Linked DNA regions of Neodiprion lecontei. The protein of the gene in region 1 interacts with the protein of each later gene in a pairwise test. Links are inferred from orthologs where the notes say so. Each region holds a gene or a part of one and is shown in the gene's direction. Other genes may lie near its edges. The genes, in order: E3 ubiquitin-protein ligase RNF25 and ubiquitin-conjugating enzyme E2-17 kDa.

Region 1 (16,342 bases):
CATCGACATGCAATCCAGTATAAATCTAACCATCACAGTCGACATTTGCATTCCTTGAATCGAAGGCCGATTTAGCGAGCTTTAAATGAGGGCAGGCAGGCAGGCAATGGTGTGGGACTATATCTACGACCAAGTAAAGAATAAGAAAAGGAATCAGGCGGTGCGAGTGCGGCAGACGATGAAAATTATTTTAAATACGCTGGTATTTCGGTAATTTGGGGTGAAAAAAAAAAACTAACCAGTTTTGCATAATTGTATAATCGTAGCATATAACATTACTGACTAACCGCACGTGCGTTACGCAGATTTTCTAACCTTGTGGAAAATTAACCGCAGTCAAAGTTCGTGTAACTCATTACATACAATATGAGAGGAGGTATTTTGTCTTTTGTATTATCTTTCATCCCTGCGTTTTTTTTTTTCTTCTTCAATTGAAACTAGCTCGTATAATCGATGATATCCTTAATTGCGTGAGGTATAAAACACTTGTCGTATTGAAAAATTGTGATTCCGTATACGACAGAAATAAATGTACAAGGTTTTACATCGACGACGGATCGCCTGTACAGCTCTGTATTATACCGGTACAGCAGGTATAATATACCTAAAAACTATAGAAAGGCGATCTCCGGAGATTACGAGTTTTACGTGATAGTAATTCCGAAAGAGCTGTAGTATCCATGCTTCGAACGGTGTAATAAAACACTTAAACGTTGTCCTATAGTAAAAGTCCCCCGTGTCCATTCTCATAAAAAGATACCCCCTCTCAAACTCTCCTCACGCAGCTTAAGTACATATATGGGTGACGACGATGTTATACCCGCACCAAAAAATTGTCGGTTTAACGAACTTTTTTTGTTACAGGTATACAATTATATATACCTGTACATAAGATTGTTCAATACATATTGGGTTTAACGTTCGTTTTATCCTCGTATTCGGTTGCAGTAAAATGCAGAGATGTCAATTTCTCGTGTGAATCCGGACAAGCGATAAGATCGATTTAAGTTCTCGTCGTTTTGGCTTACGCAGGATCAGAGTTAGGAGAGGAATGTTCCAAGCCCTGATGATGGCTCCGGGGACGAAATGGTGCGGACCGACGCAGCTAGCATCGCGTTATAACGAGCTCGGGGCTTTCGATCAGTTGGACAGATGCTGTCGTCGCCACGATCATTGTCACAGGGCGATTCCTCCGATGACCCAACGCTACGATTATTACAATTCCATGCCGTTCACTCTCAGTCACTGCGGATGCGACCAAAGGTAAACAGTAACAAAAAAAGAAGAAGAAGAGGAATATAGCAAACATCGGAGAAAGTTATAGGAACCAGACCATCCATGCAGTGATATTATATCGATATGATGTCCAGTCGTTTTCAAATTCTATACATAGATACCTCTAGAGAATTGAGGAAGAATATTTAACAATAACGATGGGATATAAATGTCGCATACTTATCGGTATGAAAGAGGAAACGGGTGTTACTGTATGCGCATGATGTATGTCGAGACCAAAGCCCTGCCACACCACCGATGCCGTCGTTGACGTCGCCGTTGCATAATCGCCATCGCCGCCGGTATCTCGATAGCTTCCTTGACCCTCGTCCTCCTTTCCCACCAGGTTCACGATAACGTGTCAAAAATTCGCCTGCAAAATGAAAAGTGAAAGCATCTATCAGATAAAGATGACGGTAAAAAGAAAGAAAGAAAGAAAGAAAAACAGCACACCCCGATATCTAGTTTCTGCGTATTGTTAAAGGCATGTTTTATAATAGACGCAGTCATACCACCACGACGCGGTGTACCTTTATAAGGTATAATACCTATACACACAACAATGCCATGCCATGCGTACGTCGTTGAACGAGATGAATCGAACGACGCAGAAACCCTTATATTATATCAAGTGTATAGGTAGATTGACATGTAACGTTATCCTAAAGCGAGGATAAGAAAGCGGAGTAAAAAGCACCGATGCAGCGATCAAGCGTCAACGGGGACGCCGCTGCAAGCTTGTTTACGTAAACGTCAAGATCGATAACCGACGTGAAGTGTAAAAATTGATTGATAATTCTCCGCACGAAGCTTGTAATATATCATAGGTATATTATATGGGTATTTGTTAAATGTGATAGAAAAATTTCGCTTTACCCTGTAGCTGCAGCAGCTGATACAATTGATTAAAATTCGTATCAACACAGCTACATTTCGGCACCTCGAGTTCTCCCTCTGTCTGCATCCCAATACGTAGTATACGTAGATAACGAATATCGTTCAGTGTGTAAATCCCAAATCTGTAAATCATATATTGTAGATAGAATTGCGTATTAGAAGAATCAGGTGGTTACGATCATAACAGGGTGAAAATGTCCGGTTTTGCGTTGGTTGTTTGTCTGCACCGCAGGAGATACGATGACGGGGACGAGTCTAATAGACGGAGGCGAAGAAGACGAGGACGCCACCGGGGAAAACGCGACCTCCTTATCATACCCGGGACGCAGTGGTGCGGTCGGGGTCACAGAGCGACCAAGTACACCAATCTCGGTGGTTTCGGCTCGGCAGACGCGTGCTGCCGGCGCCATGACACCACCTGCCCGTTCTTCATACCCGCCTTTCAAACGAAATACGACCTCTTCAACTGGGGAATTTCTACCCTCATGCATTGTGCCTGCGACGAGCGGTAAGCTCTCGCCGAACGGAGCGCGATTATCTTTCAAATACCACGCACCGCGACAAGTGTCCCGGTTAATTGCGGTAAAGTATAGGAAATGAAGTGGGGAGGTTGGGGTGAGTGGGGGGCACGAGCAAGAGGATCAAGCGCGTAACGATCATGCGATTGATAGCTAAAGAAAAATTATGTGGTACCGATTTCAAGAGTTTCTCAGTTTTTGAATCTAACGAGCGGATAATTATATTGTTACTTCAATACGCACAGTATTTATTATACCTATACATACATGTGAATAAACCTATACGTTTGTCAATAAACAATCTTAGCCACTTTATCTAAGGATATCTGTATTGATATTCCAAAGACTGCGGTCGCGTTGTACACCTTATCTGTGTTATTATGTATTCGGGTTCTAAAATATACGCGGGCCAAAGTCAATAGAAAACAGAATCACGGGAAAACAGTTCGTTCTAATTTATCGCCAGAGGATCGCGTCGGAACTCTGTTTAAGAAAATTATGCTTCTCGCAATTTATTCTTACTTTCTAACAACGGCGATCGGTTAAGACTTAGAAACAATCGTGTGTACACAAAGTTTGCGTGGAGCAAAATGTTATGGCACAACGTGTGACGATATATACCGTAGTTATTATGCTTGTACAATATCTATACAGAGCACATGTGTGTAGCTTTAAAATTCAGGTTTACACCTGAGTAGTTATAATTACTGCGAGAAAATTAAGTTCACACGAATCTAATTTTCATTAAAGTTATAAATTATATTATTATTTATATTATATGCAATTTTCAGGCTTCATAATGTCTCATCTAACTGCGAAAATGTAATACCTATCTATTCTGTACAGATATTTTATTTTAAAACTGGCAAAAACGCGTGGTAGGGAATGGATACGAGGGGTATTGTATATAATATATGTATATCATACCTATGTATACGCCCATATTAATCTTACGTACGTTACCTTATACTCAACTGTTTTTCTTTTCTTAAATTTTCCTACTTTCAGTTTTCGAACGTGTCTGAAGATGGCCGGAACGTCGTCGGCGAACTTCGTTGGGAAATTGTTCTTCAACGTTGTACAGACAAAGTGTTTTGTTCTGAAGCCGCAAAAAGCCTGCCAGCGAAGATCGTGGTGGGGGAAATGCGAGGCTTACGAGTACCGGAAACAGGCGCATCTCAGGGACAACGTGCCGTACTGACGACGCGACACCAGCTTATAATGACTTTGCATGGAAATTCCATAATTCGTCAACGAATTACACGCGAATTACACGTCACGGTTCCAATTCTGAAAACAGAGAAAAGAAAAGAAGAATAAACAAATTATTTCGTATTCAATTAGCTATATATGACACAGTGTAATAATATATACCTATATAATATATGTATATATATATATATTATATATACATGTTTGTGTGTTAAAATATTTCTGATTCCAAAGTCTCTCGGCTGCGATTAACTTTATTATCTAATCAATTGCAACTGCTATAACTTAAACATCTCCTAAAGATTTTCAAATGTTTCAAAAACTTAGATCCTTTTCACTACTTCCGACCGTTTCGTACGGCTATGTTTAGAGTAAGAAGTACTTATAGCGGTAAAATTGTGGACACTTTATAATTCCAATATATAATGCAACCCTATACTTTGCAACGGAGATATTAATTGTTAATATCTCGAGAGTTGGAGACACAAAGCAACCTTAATTTTTTACTTAAAAGAATTCTTTTTCTTTACGTAACAAAAGAAAAAGTTGCTATACCTATGGTGATATTATTTAGCAGCGAACATATATTCGCGATACTTGAATGAGTTATTTAAAAAATTCTGTATAACCGAATATTAGAAACGCATCAAAATAATTGACTAATCTGTTTACTTTTCCTCTGAAACATAATTCAGACAGATGTCTGTAGCGTCCACTACACTTCGGCCGTATTGTAATATTCTCGATCGAAATTCACAATGACAATAAATTCACTACGGAACGACAATAATAACATGGTACCTATACATCTAGGCATACGTATGATATACATACAATAATGTATAACTATAACGGTGTAGTCAGTGTGAGTAGGACCAATTTTAGTCGAATTATAATGAATAAATTGAAGTATGTTAAGAAAATTACTGCATTATGCATTGTGGGGTAAAAAACAGAGTGTAATGGGTACGCGCATATGCATGTGATAAACTTCCATAAAGAGATCCACGTGATTAGTATACGTTTTATATAATATGAAAAAGCATAAAGTAAATTTTTCAGCAGTGATAAAAATTTCGTCGAAATAAGTATAGAATCGAGAGAGTCTATTACAACTATAGTTTATAATAACTTAATTTATGAATTAATATGATGTAATTATTCGTGTATCGATGGATTTTGCGGCACGATCTTCCGTTCGCGCTACTCAGATGTAGAATTATTACATGTACGTACCAATAGAGATTAGAATAGTGAAAATGTAACGATTTTTCGCAAGGAGCGAACGCGTTATGTTATTATATAAAAACATTGTAGTTTCGATGATATTCTTTCTGTCTCTGCATTATTGTAAATATGTATGATAAAGAAGAGAATTATTAATGAATGATACGCGATATGGGCACAGACGGCTTAATTTATTATGCGAATAAAAAGACAATTGAATACTCATTAGCATCGTTTTTATTTTACCCTGCAATGTTCCATAAACGCCTCCTGGAAACAATGTCGCCGGTTTTATGAGAAGCAACCACTGTTGCCGTTGGATTCTTTTCAATGAAAGTTATAATACGCAACGTGTGAAAATATGCGTCCAATCCTGTGGCTGTTCAGAAACGTCATTATTACGATTATTTCAGATATTACGAATGATTCGTGGATTTATGTGGTAAGCAGTTCATCTATCTTAAAGTCGATGTAAAATATAATTGAATATACTGTGATTGACAAAAATATTGACAAGACTGTGGATGCAATGAACAAAAATATATATTCCAAAATAACTTACCAACGAAGTATGTGTGTAAATCATGGTAGCGAGTATCAATATTGTGGGATGAATCCCGTCTGATCCGTGCTTCTGTTACACTGATGAACGATCTTACTCCACGATGAGATGAAAAAATTCTGTATCAAGTTATGGCTATCATTTATTCGATATGCAATTGTTTTTCGTCAACCTTGAGTTAAAAAATTTGATCTACGGAAGATTTTTAACGATAGCCCGCGCGAGTTCACAGCGCACTGTCAGTGTTGCCAACCGTCCTCTAGTCCCAAAAATTTCGTTCCATGTTTCGGACGGAATTCGGTAGAAACTTGCAGCTACTGAATTGATTCCTTCTCAAAAATATTAGCTCGACCCGAGTCAACCTCATAATAGCGTTATAATCGTAGTATTATTCATTTCTCATTCTACAAGATGTTCGCTTGCAAATGTTGGGATGTAATTCACGTCCCTAGAATCTCTGAATCCTGACATCACGAACTCAACACCCGCGCTTTTATTATTCTACATTTTATTTTTATTTTTCCCAGCGCGTGAAAATTGAAGTTTCATTGGCTAAAATTATTTTCATCTTGTGTTTCTATCACGTTTCGACATTCGCGACTGTTGTAAGAATTATATTGAAAAACATTTAACGGTGAAATTATCGCGGATGCTCTGCTTTTTTTCTTTTTTAAATAACACGTATCGAATGCAGGTTCGGTATCTGTCTTCCAATGATAAAAAAAAATACCCCAGTCTTTAACTGGCAGACCTGTAAATGTAGCAGAAGCTGCCGAACAAGGCAAATCTGTAAAGCAAACGCTTTACGTCGGAACGGCCGACTAATTTGTCGAGGAGACAAAATATATTAAATATAACAAATAGCAGATAATACCTTTGTCAAATTGTTACTCGCATTTATCAGTACTAATAATGGCTGATCCTGGCATAGACGAAAGGTAATTCGCAATGATACTGAGCCCAATACGTGGTGACAATTTTCTCGAATGTGTCAAACTGTCACTATCAATATAAATTTTTCTACATTTAATTATATTTCTTGATATTGCTCTTGTTTATACAGGGTGACCGATGAGATCGAAGCTCTCAAAGCTATTCTTCTAGATCACGAATTACACATCAAAGAAAACCGAAGGTTCGCAGATTTAAATCTTTTCTTTCCATGGATCGAATATTTCGAGTTACTACGATACTATTTTGCAAACACATACTACGGATATATGTGGAGATGCATGTTAAGAAATCACAAAAAATATTAACAGTATTTCAGAAGTGTCGAGCTTCAATATTTTTTCGCTTACCAAGTACGGTATCTGGTTGTTTCAGAGGCGAACCGGAATGCATTGAGACCATAGTATTTCCATCAACTGGAGAAGACTCTCAGTCTCAGTACGTTTGTGTGAGATTAGTTGTGGATCTGCTACCTGGCTACCCAGATGTTTCGCCAAGGGTTACACTCCGTAATCCAAGAGGATTGCATGAAGACACCGTTCGTCTCATACAAGCGGATGCAGAAGCTAAGTGTCAAGATTTTGTTGGTCAGCCAGTTATGTTCGAGTTGATTGAGGTAAGCTGAGAAAGACTCTGATCCCTCGTTAAAATGAATGATGTTCGCAATGTTTAGTGGTAATTTTTGGTACTGGTGAAAAAAAATAAAATAAAAATAGTGTACACATGATTTCAATATTTGTGTAATCAGTATTGAATTTGATCGATATAGTTATTGGGACCCGGATGTGGCGGAAAACAATCTGTTTCTATATCTCGGTCTAATCATTGACAATTACATTCACAAGGAAATTTAATTAATTACAGCTAGTACGGGAACATCTCACTTGTAGCAACTTGCCCTCTGGCCAATGCGCTGTTTGCCTCTATGGATTCAGAGAGGGTGATGAATTCACTAAAACCGAATGCTATCATCATTTTCACTCGCATTGCCTCGCAGCCCACGTAGCTGCTGCTGAACGGCATTATAGAGAGGAGCAGGAAAAAGTGCCGCTATGGCAACAAGATCCTAAAAACAAGTTCCAAGTAGGTTTCCAATGTACATTTCAGAGTTGACAAATCAATGGTACTTGCTTGTTGTGCAAAACTTCTTATTTTTCAATGATCGTAGGCAATCTGTCCCGTATGCCGCGAAGTGATTAAATGCGATGTTGAAAATCTAAGCCTTGCTCCACCGCCGTTTGAAGTTGAAACTGCAAAAGATTTTGCAGTTACTGCAGAACTGAGGGAACTGCAACATGAAATGGCTGCCTTATTTTTACATCAGCAGCAGAGGGGAGGAATAATAGATCTTGAAGCTGAGGGAGTTAAAATGCTTTTACGAACCGAAGAGGAGTCTACTGGTACTGTGGAAGAGCCCAGTCCTTCTGGGACGAGTTTAACTGCAATACAAAATCAAGAAGAACCAGTGGTGACTCAGGTGGTAAGCTAAATGTTGAAATATGTTTTCTATAATTCTTGAAAAACAAAAGCACGACAATAAAGTTTGCAGATAATGCATGGCGAATTTTATTCGGATTTAATGTTTGATTAGCAACACCCTCAGCAGTTCGGGACGCAGCATAAACCAAATCAATATCAGCCACGGCAATCGCAACAAAATCATCAGAGACACAATAATCATGGTCATCGAAACCGGGGACGTGGTCGTCCTAATTATCGACGCCACTTTGACAGAGTACGGCAACCAGAGACGACTCCCAGATGACAATGGGTTCGCGACAATCTCAGCACTGCCTGGCATCTCTCGTCATTAAATTTACACAATACAATTAGCATTATTAGCGTAATACTCGACGTTACTAGCTGTGGCTGTCACATTTTCAATCGTCTTTGTGTAATTAAATTATAGGTAACGGTGTCCTTAGCAGCTCTCCCATTGTAACGGTATATAAAGTGGGATGCATTTGAAACTTTTGGATACGGTCTACGATCACAGTAATTTTGAATTGTACAGTCAATGTTACAACCCAATTTACCGCCAGCATGAATTTGTAAACTTTCATACGAAAGGAACTAAGTAATTCATTCAGACTCATTTACATCTCATTAATTGCAGACAGTGTGTTCAAGATTTACGTTTTGAACAGTTTAATGTGATAATTAAAACGGCCAGGAAGTAAGTTTAGCACTTGTAATAACTTTTGGGTGTTGTTTTCAAATTATTAAAATGATGTTAAACTTGCTTTACAGGTATTCTTCCAAAAAGTTGTGAGTAGCGGTACTTTCCCAAGTTTTGAAACACTTACTATATTTTTATTCCATGCAATTTTTTTGACCCATTTGTTTGTCTTACTGGTTTCTAATATCCCAATCGATACGCAATATCTAGTCAAACTTTGTGTGAGATTTTAGAAAAATGGCGGCAACGCATAACGTGATTTTTCGAACGATTATCTTATAGCTATGCAAGGCTTCTGATGGACATCAATAAAGAAGCAGGCAGTACTTTTATAAAGGTATTGAATGTAATCAATCAAGGCGACTCGAGCTTAAGATGTGAGTGGAAAGTAAAAATGTTCCGAATTGTTAGACTTTAATAAAAATTACTCCCATGTTATATGCCGTATAATAAATGTTGTCAAAATATACATATATACCTATATGTGTGTCTATATATATATATGTATATACAGAATGACCCAGGGGCTATCGCCCCATAAGCTATCAGTGTCTCCATCATGAAAATCCACAACTGAAACGTTTCTTATTTCTGATGGGAAATTTTTCGTTTGCAAATTACAGCCGTATGAAGTTGCCTAATTCCGTTGCATCTGATAGAATAGAAGAACCCGCTGGCGGATTGTCATTTGAGTATCATGTGCTTGACAACTGTTCTAAGCCATAAGATACTACCAGATTGGTAAATTTCAAACAGTTGTAACTCGCAAACTACGAATTTCCTGTTGGAATTAAAAAACGTTACTGTCGCAGATATTCGGGAGTAATACATCGGTAGCTTATGTGGCGATAGTCCTGGGTCACCCTGGATGTATAATATATATGTATATATATATTTATTACAGTGATCTTTGTTTTTAGGTGCGAAAAATTTTCATTGGACCCTCCCCCAGATCTGTTCCTAATCATCAAAAAAAAAACAACTATGTCAAGTTTCAAGCCGTTACGTCAACTGGAACACACGGCGCAAAGCTCCAAACGTTTTAATTGGCAAATACACGTTTTTATAACCACTTACTTTATCTTTTATAAATTTTGGTAAAAATCCTAAATATTTCAAAATATTATAAAAGCTTTTTAACAACAATTTACTTACATATAAGCTTAATAGCATCATTTTTATTAAGCTTACAAACAATAACTATCAAAATTTTCATGGTCTTTTCCTATCATTATAAGTAACAATTCTGCCAAGTCTCAAATACTTCCTTCAATTTATACCAGTCATAGAAATCGAACCAACTGGTTATAAAGAAATGTTTTTTTTATTTATAACGTTTCGAGCTTTCAGGCATGTGTTTCAGTTGACGTAGCGGCTTAAAAATTGACAAAGATTTTGTTTTAAAGATTTGAAATACATCTGGGGCCCGGTCTAATGAAAATTTTTCCACCCTCCAAATAGGAACCACCCAAATATACATATATATATATAATGACAGAGACACTTGTCGCATCATTCCAGTCAACCATTAATCGTACTAAATAGTGACGTTAAATACGTAAATGAATAATGAACTGTATTTAAACGTGAATTGAAATTGAATTGTAAGCGCTTATCTACGTTTGCTGAACATTGCACAATAGTTATAACTGGAGTTTAATCAGTACTGCATTCGCTATTGATAGTAATAAATTGCACATGTAGCTCCACACTAAATTGTGAATTTGGAATTTACAAAAACAAAAACTGAATTATTTCTGAACTATCTTGGCACTCAGTGATGTAAAAATTAAAATATCATTATCACAGAAATTTTTCAGCCGTATTAATGATGCACAAAGTGGATATTTAAAGACTTTTGATGCTCTTAACGTACTCCAATCACTGTTTGAGTTCTCAGGTGACTAGATGCATAGATCACCATCGTTAACTATTGTTTAAATGTTGCGTACATAGCACACGTATGAAACAGGATTTACGTTTATTTTACAGTACCGGCAAAAAATAAGATATAAGTGTTAACAACTTTTGCATTGTTGACAAAGAGTTTGCAGCACAGCTTTGTTTCAAGTGTATGATTTCAATGCAACACAGTTTATGATGTTCTTATTTTATACCATAAGGTCTCATCAAAACTCATCATTGTAACATATGTCGAAATTTGTAATCTGTATATCAGTTTATCGATATTAGAAGGTAGACAATGACAGTTGTACGCAAATTCGGTCTTGTTATTAATTGTGTTACTTATTCTTAGAACTTTTTTTTATCAGTAACCAACATACTGATATTCAAGCCAAAGTCTTGAAAAATAATAATTAAGAGTTGGTATTGCTGAACAGTTTTGAACCTTGATAATATTATGCACTTGTTTATACATACGTATATTTATGATTAGGAACTAGAAAAACTTCAGAGAATATTAAAAAGAAAAAAAAAAAAAAAAAAATTATCTTTACACGGCAATTTTGCATAGATCTTTTGGCGATTTTCATTCAACTATACAGAACAATGGCAGTTATATCAGAAAATGTCAGATTATTATAAATCAACATCTGTATTTCATAAATATATCATTTAATATATTAATTTCATATGATTTCTTTACTTTCTCTTTATATTTACATCACGCTACTGACCTAGCACTGTTTGTAGGTGAATCTGAGGACATTTGCCCGGAGTTCAAGAATCGTGCACGATGTCCTAGATCAAGGGTTTCAAGCTTTTTATGCAGTTCTTCCAGTCCTGCCTGTACAGGAACCAGTAAATTTTTACCACTAGCCAAAACCTGTGTTACACTATGCATTAATTCGGCATTTAGAGGAACTGGGGAAGGAATTTCCGTAGTTATATTTTGATAAAATCCGTCTCCATATCCCTCGTCAATACTTTCTTCCAACTTATTCGCCATTGAAATTAATTTCAGTCGATCGTTCAGCTCCTGGAAATTAGATAACCAAGTTTTTAAAGTGTTTGAAGAAAATGTACAAAATTATTATGACACAATAAGTGATGGAGAAATCAATATTATTTTATCGATATATCAAATATCTTTTAACAGTCTATAATTAAGACTAGGACAAGATCTGGGAATTCACCTTATTTCTCTCAAGAGCCCGCTTGAGACATTCCTGTAAAGAGGAGTCTGTTTCAATCCTCTGAAATAACCACATCATTTTCATTAGTGCTAATATTTCGTTGATTTCTTAATCAAAGCAGTGCAGTATAGATAACACGGAATTGAAATTAGTTTTCAAAGTTGGTGATCAAATATACTAAACTCTGATTCTGGCATTTCGCTTGTTATTCCAATTGTAGCCGCCAATTTCCGTCCCTAGGTTTAGTTTTACAGACGTATAACATGCTACGCTTAAAAATGAGCTTTTCAGTAATTGCAAAGAAAAATAGTAAGGACGATAGGCGGTTCTTTGAAATTGCATACCCTATGTGATTGAGCGTATCAGGTGTTGAGTGTAGATGACAGGAAAGTACCTTGTGTTCAAAAATATAGAACTGGCAAACTGGATTGAAAATGAGGATGAAGAATTTCTCTTGGTATTGCTAGCATGTGAATGAAATGTAGCTGAAGCAATGGACCAAAATTACTGCAATGAATGTAAAAATTAGAACAATAACATACGAATATAAATGTAGGTGAGTGATGAAATATTAGGTAAAAAATGAAGAAAAAAATATATAATTATTCAAATGCCAGCTTACCGCTTGAAACAATTGCTTTCTGCTGTCTTCTCTGTTAACTTGCTCCTCCAAATATCTGATCTTCCGTTTGGCATCTCTCAGCTTCTTGAACAGAGCACTATTAGCAGCAAATGAACGAGACCTTAAGGTCTTGTTCTCATTTTTAATTTCCTGAATCACAGCGGCCTTAGACTCCAACTCGATGTTTCTTGTTTTAATCAGTTTGTGTTGAGCAATCATTTTGTTAAGTTGAGATTTCAGTTGGACTATCGCCTGTTCAACTTGGCCATGTTCCTGTTTGGAGTTCAAGAGCGTCGACTCAAGGACATCCTTCTCAGACTTAACTTTATTGAGTTCAATCTGCACGGCGTTGAGTCGACTCTTGGCCTCATTTTTTTCCATCTCGCACTTCTCCATGTTTATCCCCATACTGGATATCAACTCTCTGTACTTGGCTAGTGCACTTTCCAGTGAGTTTTTCTGAACCTCTACGCTGAGGAGGCGTTGCTCCATTGCTTTAAGCTCAACTCTCGTGTCCCTAAGCTCGTCCTCGGTTGATTCCAATTTGGTTGACAAATCGGGCGACAGGCGAGTCTGGGGGTCCTTGAGTGGCATAGCCGCTGCTTGACCTAGTGTAAGTTTTGCCCTGAGCTGTTCTATTTCTTCCTTCAACTCCTGGCGCTCTTTTCTCAACTTTTTACTCAGTACGATGTATTCGTCATTGGCCTGCTTGCACCTGGCAGTCAGAGCCAAGGTCACTTCGTGCTTCTCCTTCACCAGTCGTTGATAAGTATCAACTTCGACCTGAAGGCCCCTCTTGCTGGCCTGCAACTCGTGGATCTGTGCCTGATACCACTGCTTCAAATTCTCAGCAGCTAGCACCTGCCTCTTGGCATTCTTCAACTCATTGTCGAGCGTAAGCCTTTCCTGGAGCGAAGCCTGGGCCTCGATGTACAGCTCGGTGATCTTGTCCTTCAGCGACTGGTTTCCCACGACTCTTCCATTCAATTCGACCTGAGAATTTTCAAGGTCTACTCTTAACCTCTCGTTTTCAACTTCGAGGGCCGCCAGGCGCTTTGATAATTCCGCACTCGACACGTCCGGGGTGGAGACGTGCCTTAGTCGAAATTCGTCCGTTATCAAGTGCAGCGAATCTGTCGAGGTCACAGAGTCGAGCTCGTACCTTGAGGAGTTATCGGAAAAGCTGTCCATTCTTAAATCTCGGCAAACTCGGTGCTCGTTCATCACTGATCAATTTCTATAACAGACCGATTTGCGATCACCTGCCATTTTTTGCTCAATTCGCAAATTTTACATACGGTTCCGGCTAACTTTGCTTGGTTGGTTTGCCTCTTTCGTTTACAAAACACTGTGGTAACAAATCTCTGGCACTATTCTTAGAACAGAAACGAATTTCCTGGAGTCAGCGCCACTTACCTTACCGTGGTTGCAATCAGTACTAGAGAAGCTAAAAGGGACTTGGTAGCGGGAAATTCGAATTTAGAGTAGGGAATACTTTTTTACGTATTATAAAATTATTACTAAAAGACGGGTACATAATACGTACGTCGCTAATTTCGCTAAATCTCGAGTGTTGAGCTTTTTCATTTTTGGGTAACCTATATCGCACAGATGTTACGTCGGAACGATTTAAAACACAGCACTTTACTTTTCTAGGCATATTAGCTAACAAACACTTCAAAACACTTTTTATGTAAGAGCTAACAGAACGAACGCCTTCAATCAACAGGTAGTGTCAAATGTACCAAAATGTAACATGGCAGCGGCGTCACCAGTTGCACCAGTGTACTGCGAATCTTTAGACCTGCGAATTGGCTGCGACCGTGGTATTAAAATGCGTGCCGTGGTTGAAACAGTACTAAACAGGGAACCAGCTGGCCTGTGGCCTTAGAGCATGTACAGTATCCTTTCAACCACGGCATGACTTTTAGCGCTACAGTCGCTGCCAATTCGAAGTTCGAACTACGCAGGTGACCCCGCCGCCATGTTACATTTTACTATATTTAACAACAGCGAACTGTGCACAGTTGACAGCGCGTCGTCAAAATTCATCGAGGAGCGAGCATCAACTCTTTTCACAAGTGTTCTACGTGCGAAGAACAAAGATATATATTGCAAAATTAGCTGAGATCTACCGAAGATCACATTTCCTCGCATGCGAAGAAAACTTCAAACGGATCAGTGACGTTTAACGTGAGCACGGCTACGTTCAAATGTATTCGGATGTAACCTCAGAACTGTTACGAACGTCTCGACGTGAATAAATAGTATTGGCTATAAACAGAAATTGGATATTCATTTAAAGCAAGTTTACTTGTACATAACTACGGAAGAAATGGCGGATGGCAGCAAATCAAGTGAAAAACAGGTTGAAAGGCCTATCGTAGCTAAATCAGCCGTCGATTTGCAAAGGTTAAAGCTCATGAAGTTGATGAAAAATCCTGTAAGTTAAGAATTACACTTTTATAGATGAATATCGTAGATTTTCTTAGTTTTTTTTTCCAACAACTTACATACTGAGAGTTTCGAGAATATTCAGAATGTGTAAATTTTAGTCATACCATTTCTCTGTGCTTAGGACAAACCAATCTTACTGCCCGAGAGACCTAAGTCCAAGAATACTCCAACTGTACCAGAATTTGTTCGAAATGTAATGGGCAGCAGCGCTGGTGCAGGAAGTGGAGAATTCCATGTGTACAGACACTTACGCCGCAAGGAATATTCCCGGCAGAAATTCATTCAAGAGAAAGGAAAGAAGGTCAGTGTCAGATTTTACAAGGAAATTGTATTCTATGGGTATACACATTTTCTTGTACAGACTCTAATGAAAACTATTTGAAACGGATATGAAACTTTTCACAAATTACAAATTGCTATTTTATTACAGGAACTTTTGGATGAGGAATACCACAGGAAGTTGGAAGCCAATAAGGAAGCAGCGAATGATGCAACAGCCAAAAGGCGAGCCAAGCGGTTGAAAAAAAAACAGAGACAAAGGCAGAAAAAAAAATTGAAGCCTTCAAACCCTCAGAACAGCCAGAGCGACGAAAGCGAGCATAGCGATACACCAGCCGATGACTCAGGTCCTGAAGAAAATATTGTGGTGAAAAGTTACAGTGTTACTCCAAGTATGAATCACAATTCTGAAAAACTCGACAACAGTGTTGACAGTAACGAACGTAAAGGAAGTTGTGAGACTGAGGTTTCGACAAGTAAAATTGAAAGTGATAATCATTGATAACGTATATACATTACTACAAGACAATGTATAAGTTATTTACAAATGGTATGTTTATTTTGACATGCGAGTTCCAGACCAAATTTATCATCGTGAGCATAACTGTTACAAGTAATCGACTACAGATAGATGATAAAGAAAACATTGTAAAATGGAAAGTCTGTTGTGTTACTGTGGCAGTAATTATTGGTTACTAACTTTAGTAAAAGGTTGATAAGTTTGTACGATGTTCAGAAGGCTGGATTTTTCAGTAGTTTATAAGATAAACACTTTAAAATTTGGGGCGGTTTTATAAAAGTTCAATTCTTTTACCTGGGAAACATTTCCATCTGTTTAAGACCCATAGACGTGAAAGAATTGCGGAAACCTTAGACTGTGTTTTATCATTACTCAACAAACCTACCAACTGTAGCAGATCTATCCACTCTTTTGGAATAACATTCGATCCACGTACAGGCTAGCCTGTAAAATATTGGCTATAGTAGGAACTTCTCAACAATTATCCAGGATTATTTAAGATTTCATGATCAATAATTCATCGTTGAACTAATATCTAAATTGTC
Region 2 (16,787 bases), on another chromosome or scaffold:
GTCGTCGTCGTTGTCGTCGAGTGTTAAAAGCACAGATTTCGGTCTGTCATTCGAGGACGCTCTTGGTTCGAAACGGTTCGATAAGGTAAACAAGAAAGGATCGCAAATAACGCCGTTCGTCGCGAACGTCGGGCATCTTTGACGGAGCATAGAAACACTCCGCGAGATCACACGATTGCTTATTGACCACGCGAATCCCCCCCTTGCCTCTTCCGCCCTTTACTCCATTTTAATTCACCACTGTATTAATGGAATAAAAAAAGGTAGAGCCGTGACTCTTTCGTTCACTCCTCTCGTATCGCGAACCTTGGCGATTGTCACTGCCTCGCTGCTGCCACGGCACTGTTTCTGACTGCCCGGCATTTACTCGGAACTTGGCACCTCGGCCGTATTACCAATCGCGAGGAACGTCGCTTCAACGTCGCGACACTCGCTGGACTACGCCATTTTCGCCGAGAACATCCGTCGCTCCTTCTATCTCTCTCTGTCTGTTTTTTTTCTCTTTCTCGCTCGCTCGTTCTCGGTCGCGACGCGCACCGTCACGACGTCACTCGTTCACTGCCGCCACCCGTCACGCGAATGTAGATTTGCGAACGTCGCCCCACCGCCGACCGTGCTGCCACCACTCGACTTTCTTCGCCGCGTCGGTAACGTCGAAATTCCTCCTTCCGACCGTCGGGTGAACCCAAGGCTTTCGCCTTTTGTTTTTCTTTTCGAATAATCGAATATGACTCTTGGAGAAGCTTAAACTTAAACATAAAATATTATAAATTCCAATCCAATTTCTCACTTACAGGCTTGGCTTAATATTATATACAGAAAAAGCATGCTGTTTTCATAATTGTGACAATCAGTACGTAGGTATCTGGCATTGATAATCGGTGATGACGTGCCGCGGCTTTCACCTTTACACATAGAATGAACGTGCCTGCAAAAGGTAAATTCAAACGGATGATTTGATAATGCGAGGCTCCATCGTGTTCTTTCTTTTTCTCTTATTTTTGTCATACACTTGCACTACTAATGTTACAACGGCATTAATTTGTTAGCAATTATCGCCTACAATTTCAGCTTCAATTAGTAGTGCAAATTAATTGGTTCACTGGCAAATAATACCAGTAGACTGAAACCGAGTTTTCAGTTTGAATAGGAAAACCTGTACAGGCGTTTATTGTCATTACTTAGGTCATGTTCTGTTATAGATACATGAATGATGAACGATCAGTGTAATGGTTCGATAAGCGTACAATTTCTTCTCCCGGTGGTTCTATATTGAAATTTGAATAGGTCTGAATCCAGGCGGAATAACGTGAATATCTGTAAGTGACGGATTCCATCGTCTCAAAATTCTACCTGCATATACAACCAACTTATAAAGCTCGTTATCCATTGCGTTGAAATATACTCCGTCGTATTTCATCGATTGAAGTCGCTATACAGTTTAACCCCCCATACGGTTATTAACACAAAGATCGAGGTACAAAAACGTGACGTAACTCGCCGACGTCAATGCAGATATCCTCCACTGGAAAATTGGAGAGCGGTACCTACTGGTGTTCTTCCAGCTATGTCGCATCTTTCTTACGATCCGGACTACGCAGCTCTAATTTATGCCAACCCAATGGCTGGGATCATATACCCTCGCCTTTGAGATTGATTAATTAATAAATTGAGGTAGCGTGAGTATTATATACATATGTAACCAAGTATATATATGTTTGTGTTATACACATTCGTTTCGTATGTATTCAAGAATAAAACACTCAGATACCATCAATCAAGCATAGAACGACAACATTCTCGATAAAAATTATTGTATTATCCGTCATAAAAAATCTTCCGGCCCACAAATTAACCCTCGTATAACAAATGGTTCTTCAGTACCGACTTGTTGCCTCCGTGCAAACGTCGAAGAATGACTGCGCGAACTCCTTTTTACAAATTTCAGCCCTATTCTATCAGACCCTCTGCAGAGTGAACTTTCGTTCGAAGAATCGTCCTGCTCCCTCCTAGAGGACATCGACGTCTCGCTACGATCCGTTGGCCTTTCACAGGTCAAAACCGTACCCGAAGAACTCGACGACGTCTCGACACTCCGATTGCCTCTCTGGTCTCGACGATTGAAGGGGACATCAGGATGCTCGATTCTCAAGACTTTGTGCCCGGCTCTAGAGACGGCGGCTTCTTCTGGCCTAGAAAAACTGAACACCGGTTCAGCCGGAGGATCGGGCATAGGGCCAATATACGAGATCGGAACTATACAAATTCTGTCCAAAAAGTCGGGAAGTCGGATTTCCGGTGCTGTCGGATGATTCTCGGAAGATTCCGCCACCTTTTTTTCACTTTCAAGGGTTCCGACTTCCGGTTTTGGATTGTCAAGCCTCGGAGGCGATGCTGTGCAAATATGAACCGAAGACAATTTTCGGTCCGTACAACCCAGTGGAGAAGTGAAACATGGCCATTCCATTTCCTGTTTGCAATTCTCCGAGCCACCAATCTCATCCACGGGCACGCCAATGTCCACGCCAGGGTGACTCAGGGTGTTTTCAGTCGATTTGGCCTCGATGAGGTCTTTCAAGCCGTAGAACGTCGGGCTGACTTCGGTAGCTGCGGACAACAGCTGGACAAACGGACATCGATAAGTCGCGTAGTTGGTCCCGTCGAAATCCGAGACCTTGTGGTTGCTTGGGAGGTTCGGAGCCTCCATTTCGTTTTGAAAAACAGGGTTGTCATCTGCGCGGAAATAGTCGCTTAGAATGAAATCGTCTTTGACAGGTTTGACCTGAGGTCGGCATGCAGGGTTTCCGAGGATATCGGACCTCGTCCAATTCATCATTTTGGGCAGCTTGATCATGCCATTGATACAGGACAGGTTGTAGTCGAGGTTCAGAGCTCTGACCTTGCCGCGAATTTCGCTGAGCTCGTTTTGTAGCGGTCCAAGTTCCCCTTCTATGCGGGAGAGCGGATCGTACGACTTGTTCGTCGTTGTCAAACGCTGGGACTCCAACTCTCGGTGACATAAACTTGAACATTTGTGACTGAGAGGTTCGTTGCTCGGCGTCGCAGGTGGCATACTAGCGCCACTTAGACTCGGTGAAAAGGTGTAATCGGAAGCAAATTTGGAATTCCTTGTGATCGGTAGGACGTTCAACGCCTCGGCGGAGTCCTTGAGACTATTGACAACTCTTATTCTTGCAGAGCGTGAACTCTGGGAAACAGGGCGACAATACATGCCGCTGATTTCCACTTCGCTCGCGCGATCTGTCGATGCTTTGCATCGTGGACTCGCGTCTGCATCCTCCGATAACTCCGGAAACAGGGAATGTCTTGATTCGTCGTGAAATCTCGTCGTGCCGGAGGAATTCGAACCGTCCATGCACGCCGCTATCAGCCGCATTTTTTCCCTGATGTCAACCGGCGAGTCGGACACCAGACGTTCCGCCGGTATGTGAACGTCGGGATACTCGTAGGATCCCCAGGGTGTGGCGACCCTGATCACAGGCAGGGACTCCGACTTGTTCGCATCGCTCTCGACCTTTGGAGCCACGAAGTACTCCGTTCGCTTCAGGCTCATTTCGTCGACATCGACACTCGTGCTCGATGACACTTCTGACCCTTCATTCCGATGGCTCGGGTTGCGGGAACCCATCGACGGGGTCTGACGCTCCGGTAAATCGATCCTGGGCGAGTCAGAGGTGCCTGCAGTTCATCATTTATCTCATTCATCATCATGCGTTATTATAGGGACTCACAGTCAGACAAGGATACCGGATCAGTCGCGAGGATCGTGAATGGAGAACGCTAACCTACGATCGTGTTACTGGCAGCTGTGAGCTCATTTTGCGGGGCACTATCTTCATCGGGAAACAGGACGGCGTCTACCAACTGGGGGACGATGGTACCGCTGGTAGAACGAGCTAAGTTATTCGATGGTTTGCGGCAGTCTGCACCTGCCCGAGGACTGTGATGACCTTCGCTGGAGGTTTCATAATCGCCTTCCGAGTCCGTAGCAGCGATGACGAGTGGTGTAATTTGGCTCAAGGACACCGAGGTTAGGCCGGAGGAGGCGAGACTCTGACCAAACGGAGGATCGCGGAGAGAAATGGTAGTGTGGCGGGCGTTAAAACCGTCGCATTCTGTCATGACGACTTTCCAATTTGAGGGTACAGTCGACTTTGTTACACAGACGCACGGATTCGGGAGGGAGAAAAAAAGAGGAGAAAGAAAAATGTGAATAATTGCAAGAGAAAAAAAAAAAACAAGCAAGCGGAGCGGAACACGGGATCTCGCAGGATTTCGATTGTATGGCTCGCACCTCGATAATTCGTTATACGAAACCGAATCGCTGCCAACATCAGACCGCGATATGCAACCGAGACATTATCGTTGATAAGCGACGAACTGCAATGTCGTTCTGTTACAGGCTGAAGTTTTTATAACGTTATTGTAATAATGCGTCTATAGAAACTCGTTATTTTTCAACTTTAGAATTCTCTAAAATTTAGGAAACCATTAATGAAGCATGAACAAACTCAGATTTAGTAAATTCAACTTTTTAGTTATTCTAAAGTTTCAAAATAGTAATTTTTATTACAACGTTTCGATACGATAACGTTACTAACTTCAGCCTCGTCGTTCTGTCACATACGTACAATTCATGATTTTAAAAAATTTCCACGTCACTTTCGCCTGGCCTTTGTGCAGCAGGGATTATCGCCGCAACATGCACCACCCCTGGCGGAGAGATAATTCGGTGGGCCCCTGGAGGAGGGGTGCTTCTTTTTCCTGGCCTCGATGACGATGTTTGCGGGGAGCAGTATGTCCTCCCAGGGGATTTCGACGTCGTCTAAATCGCAGAGCTCCTCCTCCGGTATCGGGCGTATTTCAACCGGCCTTTCGAAGGCGAGATCCTCCCAGGGTATCTCCAGGGTCGAATCGCAGAGCGCACCGTCGGCCCGGAGTCGCGGCTGCGGGGCGACCGTGTCCATCACCAGGAGGTCGTTCCACGGGAGCTTCATCTTCCCGGTCGATTCCTTCGAATCGACTCCCTCGCTGTCCTCGCCGCCGATTTCCCGGAGCTGAGCTGCCTCCTCGACTGGCTCCTCCTTGACCGTGACGTTAGGCCTGATCCTCATGGCAACAGGTGGGAGAGCGATGTCTCGCCACGGCAGCTCGATCTTCGAGTCGCACGGTATCGACTTTTGCGAAAATTCCTTACGAAGGCAGTGCATATACGGCTCGTGCCATATCTCTTCGTCCGGATTGTGCACCAGCGTTTGCCGCTTTCTCTTGCTCGACGGCTTCGGCTTGTTACCTCCTGTGCCTTTCTTTCGTCTGCTGCAGAAGCACTCGCCCGCCTTACGCTGCTCCGCCATAAAACTCAATTTACACGCAGCAAAGAGCTCGGGGTTTGTTACTTTTCTTTCTTTTTTTTTCCCCACTTCTTTCTTTCTTTTTTGATATAACTTTTTTCGCCTCTCTTACTTCGGTTCAGCAAGTTAAATCGCGCATGCCTTATTGTACCGTTACCGTATTACGCTCGTCGCCTTTAGACTTGTTAATTTTTATATTTATTTATTTTTTTTCCTTCCTGTTAACGGTTTATGTAACCTCGCATCGTGGCACGCGTGACGTCTGTTCTTTGCGTTTTGTTTCATCATCGATTAATCCACTCCACATGGATACAGATGTAATATTATCCACTGCATACACATTACGCGTCGTTTTCCGCAATATACATTCGTAGAAATTCATATTACCGAAGAACGTTGTTCCGTATGATCGAATATTTTTATTAATAAATACCTAATGTTTTTCTTCTACGCTGCAGGAGGACTCGATAGTTTTAAACTGAATTTGACGAATTGTATGATACTTCGAATAAAAAAAAATGATTTAAGATGACGTACACACTTGTGAGTTACCTAATTTTAATCCCTCCGAAAAATATCGCATGTTACAGAAATAGAACGTAATTTAAATGCAGGTTGAAAAGACATTTCGAATAGTCGTCTAATAAAATGCTGTGTAGCCGAATCGCGCAAAAAGAAGAGAAGAGAGAAAAAAAAAAGATTTGACACGCCGAGAAAGGTGTGAAATACGCGGTTGCGCGTCACAAGGCTTCTTTGAAAATCTGTTTACGTCATGCTGGTTACGTGAAATGAGGATTTTATAAAAGTAGCCGCCATATTCGACGAGTGTCAATGCCGCGTCGGTATGGCGGGAAACCGAATGACCGGCTGCCGGTCGGGCGGCGCATAACGCGAAAGTCTCTACAATCCGCGTTCGCCGGTAGAAGGAAATCCGTGGAGTCTGGATCGAGTTGGAGATCAAGAAGTGAATAAAAACTGATCGAATCGATAGTGCCGTTGGATTTTAGTCGGCTAACGGATATTTTTGAAATTCCGATAATTTCTCCCCGCGTTGAACGATACCGGCGAGTCGGTGGAGGCCAGTAAAAGGTGGCATGCAGACAATAGCTTGAACGACGTAGTGAGACGACGTTTAGAAGGCAGCCATCTTGCAATCCCTAATCAAAGATCCTTGGCTAGCGGGTTTCGTTGTCTGGGTTTCAGCCAGTTTATATCAATACACAGTCCATCAAATGGCTTTAAAACGAATTAATAAGGTACGTCAACGATTCCTAGTGTTAATACTTCATAAAAAGTATCCGCGGACAGTGTGCTGTGCGTTAAATCAAATTGAACGCCCTTAACAATTTTGCAGTGAAGCAATGTGAGCCAGCATTGAAAATCATGTTGGCTTTTACCCCTTTTTTTCACCGTTCCGACTCTCCGTTACCCGATTGTGCTTTCGTTTATCGCCTGTCCCATCGCGTATTCAAATCACCGTATTCCCAACGTGTTGCTCGGTCAATTATTTTCATTGTGATTATTCCACAATGACAGTGAAAATACGATAAATCCTTGGTAGATGGCCGATAAATAGCCGGAAGTAACGTAAAACCCTGCGTTATATGTCTGTATATGCCTACACCTATATATCCATCCATATACATGTGCTTATATACACGGCTATAGATAACTCTGAAACTGGGAGAAAAAAAGAATATACCCCCATAAACGCCAATTCCATGACCTGCAAAGTTCGCGCAATAAACCAATCGCTGTCCGGATAAAACAAATTTACCAATATTTTATCATCGTTACTTTTCCTCCGACAAAATCTTTGCCATTTTGAATAAAGACTCGCTGGCGTTGTGTCATTTCTGTGGCTTAGAACCAGTTGGAACGTTATCGTGACGTCATTGATCTCTGGACCTGATTGTTATGGTCAACTCGTAGAATAACCAGAAAATGTTCTGGAACATTCTGAGTCATTGATATCGAGTGGCGTTGCGATTTAATCAAGCATAGATCTAGCTGCTAATTGATTTGGCAAATTCTACAAGTGCACTTAACTCTGTTTTTTAACATTTCAGGAACTCCAGGATCTGGGAAGGGATCCACCTGCACAATGCTCCGCTGGTCCAGTAGGAGACGATTGTAAGTTACAAACTGCACCACCTTATTTCCAATAAGTCGACATTGACTCCTTCATATTCATTTCGCTTCCTGCCTCGCCCAAAACATCTTCATCTTTCTTCCTCTGACTCAATTTTTCTGCACCTGAAATCTTAAAGTTTCAGGTGTTACAACTGCAGCTAGAGATTTCATTACTTGTCTGTGTGATTCAGAAATGTCACCCATTGTTCATATATTTCATATAATTTATCTTTGTTCGAATTTACAAGTTCAGAATCAACAGTTGCAGACTTGTACTTTTTGCCAAGTGTACCTCGATGTCTCTTTTCGACTGTCTTAAATTTAACTTCACGATTTGAAAAATGTTAGAGCTTCAAAAATTTGGCAATTTTATATATCTCACCATAGCAAAAGTTTTAAGTATTCTTTGTCTGACACTGGTCAGTCTTGAACACAAATTTCAGGCGATTAAGAATAAAGTATATGAATTGAACTGTGGATTGTAAGAAATGAGCTCTCAAATAATATAAGGAAAACTTTGTTAAGAGCTAGAGCGATTGTTTCAAAACTCATTACTGGGCAACACATTTCAATAACACACATAAATGCGTCTTTAATCATGTCGGTTAGATATAACTGACTGCTCGGTATATGCGCAAGTACTTATAAGCGTTACCTTTATTAGGATGAATGCTTCTTTGATGTATAAAAGCTCTGCCTTTACTACGGCAGATAACCTGGAATTTTAAATAAGAATTTTGCTAGCATTCATATAGAATCTATAAATAGTTCAGACCAATGTGGTAGTCGACACCCACTACTTACCAATACCTGCTCTTCAAACTATTTTTCTCTACATTTTTTTTAGTTTATATTGCAACAGGTTTTGGTATTGAATGCCAATTATAAAATAAACTTGATTCCCTTTCGACTGGTCGGCACGATGTTGACCAGATACTTAGTTTGAAAATCTTTACAGAAATGCTTATTTGCTTTCAACTTGCCTGAACGCAAAATATTTATCTGAACAACTAACGAACTTTGCCTATAAACTTGCATTTTAATTTTCAATTGAGATTGAAACCAAGTTCATTATCCGCACACCAATGAATCGGGTGCTTGAAACTATTTCAGCCGGCTTCAAAAGTCTTTCAGCAGCTTTCATGTCATGGTATTTTATTCTTGGGCCATGTGACTCATCCTCTTGGGTATCGTTAGTATGTGACTTGACAATAGGACAGAAAATTGCTGTTTTGCCAGACTACGACTAATCTATCTTTTTCTCCCTTCCCTCCTTTCCCTCTCCCTATCTTGGCGGAGACTTGAGAAAAGTTTTCCAACTCCCGAGAATGTTATTTGTATGAAATGAGAAGCATATATTAATTTCATAACAAACCGTCAACGTTGAAACTTGACACTTTGTCTTTCAATTTTCAAAATATGATAAAGTTATATCCATAAGACATCCGGATACAGGAACTTCCTTTCTCTAGCCATAGAGTTTCATATAATATTATCACACGCTTGTTCATGCAGGAAAATATTTTACTATTTACGTCTTAAGATTTGTATACATCGGTTCAGCTTAAAATGCATTAACGAAATGTTAATTACACTTACGTGAAAACTCGTTAGGAACTTGCTTCTTATTCCATGTATTATACTTCTTGGATATGACTGGCTGGCCAATTGATCTATGAACAAACATTTAGATATATAATTATCTTCTCATGTTACACATTTTCGCAACAATACAATTGTATGTCTTTCTTTCTTTAATTTCAGTATTCCACTGGCAGGCCACCATAATGGGACCAGTGAGTAATAAACAATATTCATCGTTTTATCCTCACACAACATCTAATCTGTGATTTCTTCATTTTTCGTCTCATGTTCTACATCGCATACCGCACATCTCTCAAAACGAGTTCAGCAAATTGTCATTTCAATATTATGTTCACAGTTTACATAATGTACCGTTAACTTATTATATATATATTTTAGTTATCAACAGTAGGTGGAAATTTAGTCGCATATAAAAAATGTCATGCATATATTTTCAGCCCGATAGTCCATACCAGGGAGGAGTATTTTTCTTAACAATTCACTTCCCAACAGACTATCCCTTCAAGCCTCCTAAGGTACGGTGACGTGTCAATTTTATCCAACTACCTTATGTGTTCTTATAACCAGTTCGATATTATTCAACGCATATGTCCTTTTCCTAGGTTGCTTTCACAACCAGAATCTATCACCCCAATATCAACAGTAACGGAAGTATCTGCTTGGATATACTAAGATCGCAGTGGTCGCCAGCACTTACTATTTCAAAGGGTACATTCGTTATAGTTTAATATATTAAATTTAACAATACCATATAAACACGAATAGTTTGCCTTGTCAATTATTTCAAATATATCTATAACATTCGTTCCTCGACCAGGCAGTTCAGATAATCACAATGTAATAGTAGCTGTATTAAATTTGCTTCTTTATCGGCACTGCTTGGTGTTAGAGATCAATTATAGATAATTATTTATGTTTTGCCACGTCCATTTCTATTGCACTTTTTGTGTCATTGCCAACTTCGTGCAACGTTTGAACTATTTATAGTGATCGAACTACGTATTTTGCCATTTTTAATTCTATGATGTATCTTCGATATCTCTGGCATCGTATCACGCGTGTCCATTTTCTGTTCAACACGGTTTGCGATTGCAGACTTCTCAACGATATATACTGTGGTGATTTTTATTTATTTATTCATTTATTTTTTCCTTTTCGGTTCCAATTGGCGGCAAAATTCTGCTAGCACAGTTGGTAATCTGTTGCAAATATCACGAGTGTATATTGTTAACAATATTGTTGCGATAACAACTCGGTTCAAACATTCTGCACGTACGACACGCGTTGCAAAAGAAATGGAAGGACGTATTTTGTGGTATTGAATAATTGATAGTGAAAGATGAAGGTGAAAAATGATGAATAATAATTATGATTAATCTGTATAATTGCAGTGTTGCTGTCAATATGTTCTCTATTGTGCGACCCAAATCCTGACGATCCACTGGTGCCAGAGATAGCAAGGATATACAAAACCGACAGGGAGAAGTATAACGAATTGGCACGCGAATGGACGCGCAAGTATGCCATGTGATGCGCCAATTCTCGTTTACCTTAACATCTAAACGCCACGTCTGTCAGCAAACAACCCCAGCCATCATTATGCCACTAACCGATCAACACCGATTCAACCTAGCAGCGGCCTGTCTCTTTTTATACGTTCGCACTGCCACCCAAGCTTGTAGAACACGTTCGGACCAGTCGTGACCAGTTGTGATCAATATGATCTGTTCTCCCTTCGCGTCCTGAGAATAGCCAGTGGGTTTTAAGACGATGCCGCGGCGACAGCAGCAGTTGAGACAATTAAGAATTTTTAATAGGTGGTCACACACTCACACTCACGCAAGATACACATTTTCACACAAATAAGCCAAAACACTACACGCACACGTACACACACAGACACACACACACACACGCAAAGATCCTCTCTCCCTGACCGAATATTATTGGAATAATTAAACACATGTGAAACAGGAAAGAAACAAGGAAGAGAAATAAATAAAGACAACATCAACAACAACAACATCAACAAAAACAACAACAACAACAACAAGTAATATCGATTAATAATATCTGCTTTGATTTTCGTAAATAAATTAAATTAAAATAACCAAATATAGGAAAGTAAAAGTAGGATTTATATTTGAACTTGAGATACTACTATTTCTAATAATTGTGCTTATATGATATTATGATATTGTACACCTACTTTCTTGGTAAAAGATGAAAAAACGAAAAGATATAGGCAACAAAATGAATAAACTACACAATATTTAAAGAAAGGAGAGAAACAAAACAAGCGATTTAACAAGTAATGAAAAAGCAAAAAAAAAAAAAAACCTCGACTGACAACCTGCTGATTGTTAGTTTTTCGACGTGTAACGGAAGCGACATTTGCCCGTCCTTTTAAATGTGCGGTGATTTCTACTTTTTTTTTTTTTTTTTTTTTTTTTCTCTTGTAAGACTGGGCTTCTATATATAAATACTACTGAAACTATACCTATAAATTTTGTTTCATTATTCAAATTCCTCCACCCGTTTAACGATGTTCCGATGATAAAAAATCATTCAACTGTATCCGTATCGAGTTATACATACATACATGCATACATTAGTAATACGTTCATTTACACTCAACTGCCATAAAGATAATAATAATAATGATAATAGTTAACGAGCGGTTTGCCTGCAGATGGCCAGTTGCAACGTCTGAAACTGTACGTCGGGTCCTCGCGAGAAGTCATACGCGGATTTTTCACGCGTGTCTGCCGCATTTCTTGCGATACAAAATTAAAAAATCATTCGGTACCAACACCCTGTGTCCCCGTCCCCCTCAAACCCCCCTATCATTAATGTAGACTCCTTGTGTTTTTCACCTTAAATAGCGTAGAGTAATTTTTCCGTTTAGCGTATGATCTTTCGTTTTACATGCAATTCATTTTTTTTTTCCTATTCTCATTTTTTTCTTATTTTTTAGACTTTGCTTGGAATGAGCAAACCTTTCATCCACAATATAATTGAAAAAAAAAAAAAAATGACGTTTAAAAAATCTAAAAAAAAAAGAAGTCGTAGTATACAATATTATATTATAATACACAGTATATGATTTGTAATTTGCCCATGTTTTTAAATAGCAATTAACAATGTATATGTATAGTGATGAGATATGTGTATCAATTTTAATTATTGTCACAGGTATTCGCAAAACTTTGTATTTTATAATTATATATATATATATATATATATTGTGGTTGTAAAGGATGATAAAAATGATGATTATGATTATAATGACAATGAGATGGTGATAATGATGAGGATGATGATGATGATGATTTAACATGAAAAAAGTAATCTCTTTGTTCGTTTCTCAACAATGAAAAATACATGTATCCAACGTTCTCGCGATCATACGGACTTGTAAGTGATAATAATTACTGGAAAAAATTTAAAAATATTCAAAAAAACACAAAAAAAATAAAATAAATAAATTTAAAAAAAGAATATGAAATAATGATAAATGGATATGCTCATCAAAATAGCGTTTATCATTTTAGAAAGACATACGTTGTACACTAAATAAGACTATTTAAAACCATGTAATAATCGTACACAATAGAATACCTTAGCGTCTTTAAACAGTGTTATTTCGATCCTCGCGTTCATGTCAAAGAACCTACTATACTTATATATGTTTTAAATATGGGCGTTGGGTTCAATTTTCACCTACCCCCGGCTTGGTAAAAATAATTGAATGTAAATTTGCGAATGGCTTGTTTTTTTTTTTTGTTCTGTTTCAAATAATAGACTTCCGATGAAAACAGGTGATATTTGCATATATACATATATAACTGCGTCGCGACTCGCGTGTATAATTGAATGTATTTTACGTTTAAAGCTAGGATTTATAAATCGAAAGTTGACTCGAGTTGGTGCGAAGAGATAAAAGGCAGGTTTCTTGTTGTTGCCCTACATGGTTTTTCTTTTTTCATAACTGTGAGGTTAATAAATTTAAAAGGAAAGAAAAATATGGAAAAGTAATGGAAAATTCATTTGAACGAAGAATTAATATTATTACTATTCAAATTAAACGATGCAAGATAATGCCTACTTTGTATGTAAAAGCGGATAGTAAGTTCATTGGGATTTCGATCTTTTCTCTGATCGAACGATGATATTAACATACATATTACGTATAGTTAACTGTAATTTAATTCTTTTTTCTGTATTTTTTTCCTCCCCTACCCCCTTTTGAATCAAACGCGGCAACGTATAGGTATTTAAAAAAAAAACTTTCTCCTCCATTGATAATTGTTCGTTCTGTAATGAAGATGAGAAACAAAAAAAAAAAACAAAAAAAAAAAAAAACGAAGAGAAAAAAGTGAAAAAAAAGTGAAAAATAACAATGATGAGAAGAAGTAATAGAAAGGTTAAAAAGAAAAACAAGGAGAAAAAAAAAAAACTTTGAAATAAAATAAAATAGAAAGGAAGGAAAAATATTCATGTGTAATTATTATGTTAATAACGCAATAACGAACATTTTTAATAACTTATCCTGTGTAAATTTTAAACGTTGGCACTTTATGGAATAAAGTTTGCATAACGATTACTATAGTGCGTACCGATTATTTACATGCTCACAATATCAGATCTCCATTATCCTATTACTATATTTTGGTTACTATTGTATTTAACTTTGGTTACTGTTCAATAGATGATAAATATTTCTTACCTACTACATTACCAGGGTAGAGACACCACTGGATGAAAAGTTTAGTAAACGAATTCTGAACTGGTGGCTCTACTCTAGTTATAAAATTGAAATCGATAAGAAGGTTTTACGAATTAGACGATATAAAAATATATACAATACCTACGTATACCTCGTTTACTTGTAATTTCTCATCGTATCCGATATCATTCTCCAACCAATGTAACATACATAATGTAACACTATACATATACACGATTCATATCTCATGGTTATTATACTGGAAAGGAAATAGTTTTGTTTAATTGAATAAAATGCGCAAAAAAAAAAAAAACCGAAACGCTTATGGAACATTTCGCCTCACGCAGGACAGAACATATTAAAATTATATGCACATAATAAAAAAAAAAGAAACGCAAAAACTCCTCAGTTATTCAGAAACAACAAACTGTAAAAGACAGAAATTTTATTCTTCCAACCATACTAAAAAAAAAAAGTTCAAAAATGTTGGTTCAAAAAACTTGGATAAAAAATTGAGACATAGTGAAAATTCGATGATAATTTTAAACCCATTTAACGACGGATTGCGAAACTGCCTCCCGCCACGGGAAATTTGCGAACCTGCTACAAGGATCGAGGCGGTGATTGCGCTTGCGAAAAAGGAGGGACCGCGGGAAAATCGAAATTGCGGAATCCGGATGGCCTCGTCTAGGAGTCGGGGAGGCGGTCTGGCGCAGTGCGGCTCTTTGCACTCCCTACCACGCGTTCGCCGATTCAATGAACGCCGTACACCGAAGTCCACACAAAACGGATTCCGAGGGAGTGTTCCGGTCAACTCAGTCCTTTCCGTTCCTCCAAGAGAGTCGGTGGCGGCTGTCGCTGGATCGACGTCGTTTAGTTCTGACATGCAACAACTGCAGCCGTTTCTCTATTAGCCGAAACAATTCGCGAATATAGTAAACGTCGTTTAATCTTCGCGCCGCTGATCAAGGTACGTGCGATTATTATTCCTCAAATTCAAAATCAAATCGTGAACGGTGCGGACAATTTCTCGTTTCATTCTGCTCATGTTTCTTATTTTAATCGCACTTTTTTCTCATTACGCTAATCGACCGTAATATTTCCTACATTATATTCGTACTATCGTATACTCGTCTCTGAACGATGCTAAATCTGATTAACGAGTGTGTCGCGATGTTCTGGGAGAGTGGAAAGTTTCGACCTTGTCCATCTTCGGTTAATTGAGACTAGAGTAAGTGGATATAATATACGTATATACTCCTCGCGTCGATATGTTCTTGGTATTATCCGCAATGTCCATTTTCGTTGCTGATAACAATCAGGTAGGATAAGGAAATTTTTATACAGGCATGTAATTCGAAAAAGAGCAAACTGTGCTCTACCGAAAGAGGATAAAAAAACCGTGCATCTGTCACATCCCGTGTACCCAATTTGTTATTTTAATTTTCTCTTCGAATTCTCCGCTACGTACAATAATTGGAGCGCGTCGCGATATCCCGCTTCCTTTTTTTATTGTACTTTCAACAACGTACGTTCGATATAATACACGTATGTGCCTACCTGACAATTATCGTATTTTCTAAATTAGTAAGTAGGAGAAACGTCGTTGCGCTGCAGTTCGAACAACGAATGAAAAATTATTTATTTCTTTTGTAAAAATTAAATTTCAGACGACAGCATATAATCTAGATTCCCGAGTTTTGTGATACAAATTCCAAACTAATTGCATTCAGGAAACGCGGATCGTATAAAAGCGATTACCCTGTATTTTGTAACACACTCGCCAACGTGATAATTTTCCTTCGATGCGTGCAGCGAGTGCAGTTACGTCGATATTGTCCACTTGACAGCATCTGCATTATGCCCCCGCAGTGTCGTCGACGGTAGGTTCATCATTGAGCCTGAATAACGGCAGCTTGAATAATAAAATCGTCTAGTCAAGCCGCCGCACATTACGAATGCGGTACACGAAGTATAAGTATGAGAATTTCTTAAATCCAAATGAACTTTTGCGGTCCGCGCTATGCCGAGTGTCTTGGTTCGACTATACCGTGCATGTTACAGCTCAACTTTCACGCTGAAAAGAATAAGAAAAAGTATACAAACAGCTAGCGAACCCATTACGCTGTAGAGACACGAAAGATGCCCGGAATATACGCGGTCAATGATCGCTTGAACGCTCTTTCGCGGTTTCTTTATCCTAAAAGCATAAAAAACCAATTACCGGATTTCAAAAGTGAACGGCGTGAAGAATATTCAAGTAATAATCTGACTGATCTAGTTTACATGAAATTGTTGCAGTCAAAGTATTCGAGTGACATGTAAATTCAATTCAATCCTCGTGGAATTTCGCCAGCTCTTTAACGACGAATAAAAGGAATAAAATATGCACGTACATATTGATCAAGGTTTGCGACAAATTGTGATAAATTGCTGTATCGAACTGCGATATATTTACATCTGTACCAAATGTACCTAGCCATTCGTTGTCTAGCAATGCACGCGATTGATTCACGGTGAAGCTTCCAGCCGACTTTCTCGCCGATTAGAAGCGAGAGATTGCCTGGAAGCCAAAGAGCGGTGAGAGTAAACCTGGAGGTAGTCAGGCCATTGAGTGGTCCTCGTCTTCCTTCTTGACCATGCCGGATCGGATCCCCTTCTCTCCAAAAGTCTTGCGGATATTCTTTCCGTTGTCGATCTTGGCTCGTCGACTAATATGTAGGCCAGTTCGGATGGTCCCGTGTTCGGAGAATTGACTAGCGAGTTTTAAGAACCGCTCTTTACAACTCGGGGAAGTGGTTTTGTAAAATATTTTCTCTTTGCGTACCGCATAAAAAAAAAAAAAAAACGGGAAAAGCGTTATGTCAACCTGTATTGGGAAATTGTCCAGTTCGCAGCTATGCGTATTTATCATTGAGGCATTATCTATCAGCTTGCCATTCGTCAAA

Evidence for each region.
Region 2: the proteins of E3 ubiquitin-protein ligase RNF25 (region 1) and ubiquitin-conjugating enzyme E2-17 kDa interact in a two-hybrid assay, tested with the Drosophila melanogaster proteins (2 studies listed by BioGRID). The link is inferred for Neodiprion lecontei from reciprocal best matches to the Drosophila melanogaster genes CG13344 and eff.

Annotation. Positions count from the first base shown.
Region 1 is NC_060264.1:3,154,970-3,171,311, reverse strand, and holds E3 ubiquitin-protein ligase RNF25, read left to right. Parts: upstream 1-6,455; 5' UTR 6,456-6,603; coding exon 6,604-6,629; intron 6,630-6,754; coding exon 6,755-6,826; intron 6,827-7,017; coding exon 7,018-7,258; intron 7,259-7,506; coding exon 7,507-7,725; intron 7,726-7,773; exon of another isoform or gene 7,774-7,810; coding exon 7,811-8,122; intron 8,123-8,233; coding exon 8,234-8,407; 3' UTR 8,408-11,249; downstream 11,250-16,342. Other genes in the region: uncharacterized protein LOC107221289, read left to right, coding at 1,033-1,263, 2,405-2,680, 3,699-3,891; myosin heavy chain, clone 203, read right to left, coding at 3,941-3,980, 11,461-11,762, 11,920-11,979, 12,542-13,765; PRKR-interacting protein 1 homolog, read left to right, coding at 14,877-14,984, 15,120-15,299, 15,429-15,779; HEAT repeat-containing protein 6, read right to left, coding at 16,307-16,342.
Region 2 is NC_060260.1:3,776,111-3,792,897, forward strand, and holds ubiquitin-conjugating enzyme E2-17 kDa, read left to right. Parts: upstream 1-6,294; 5' UTR 6,295-6,604; coding exon 6,605-6,628; intron 6,629-7,441; coding exon 7,442-7,505; intron 7,506-9,269; coding exon 9,270-9,301; intron 9,302-9,547; coding exon 9,548-9,625; intron 9,626-9,712; coding exon 9,713-9,818; intron 9,819-10,501; coding exon 10,502-10,641; 3' UTR 10,642-11,334; downstream 11,335-16,787. Other genes in the region: uncharacterized protein LOC107218795, read right to left, coding at 4,680-5,375. UniProt on the Drosophila melanogaster protein: Catalyzes the covalent attachment of ubiquitin to other proteins. Mediates the selective degradation of short-lived and abnormal proteins.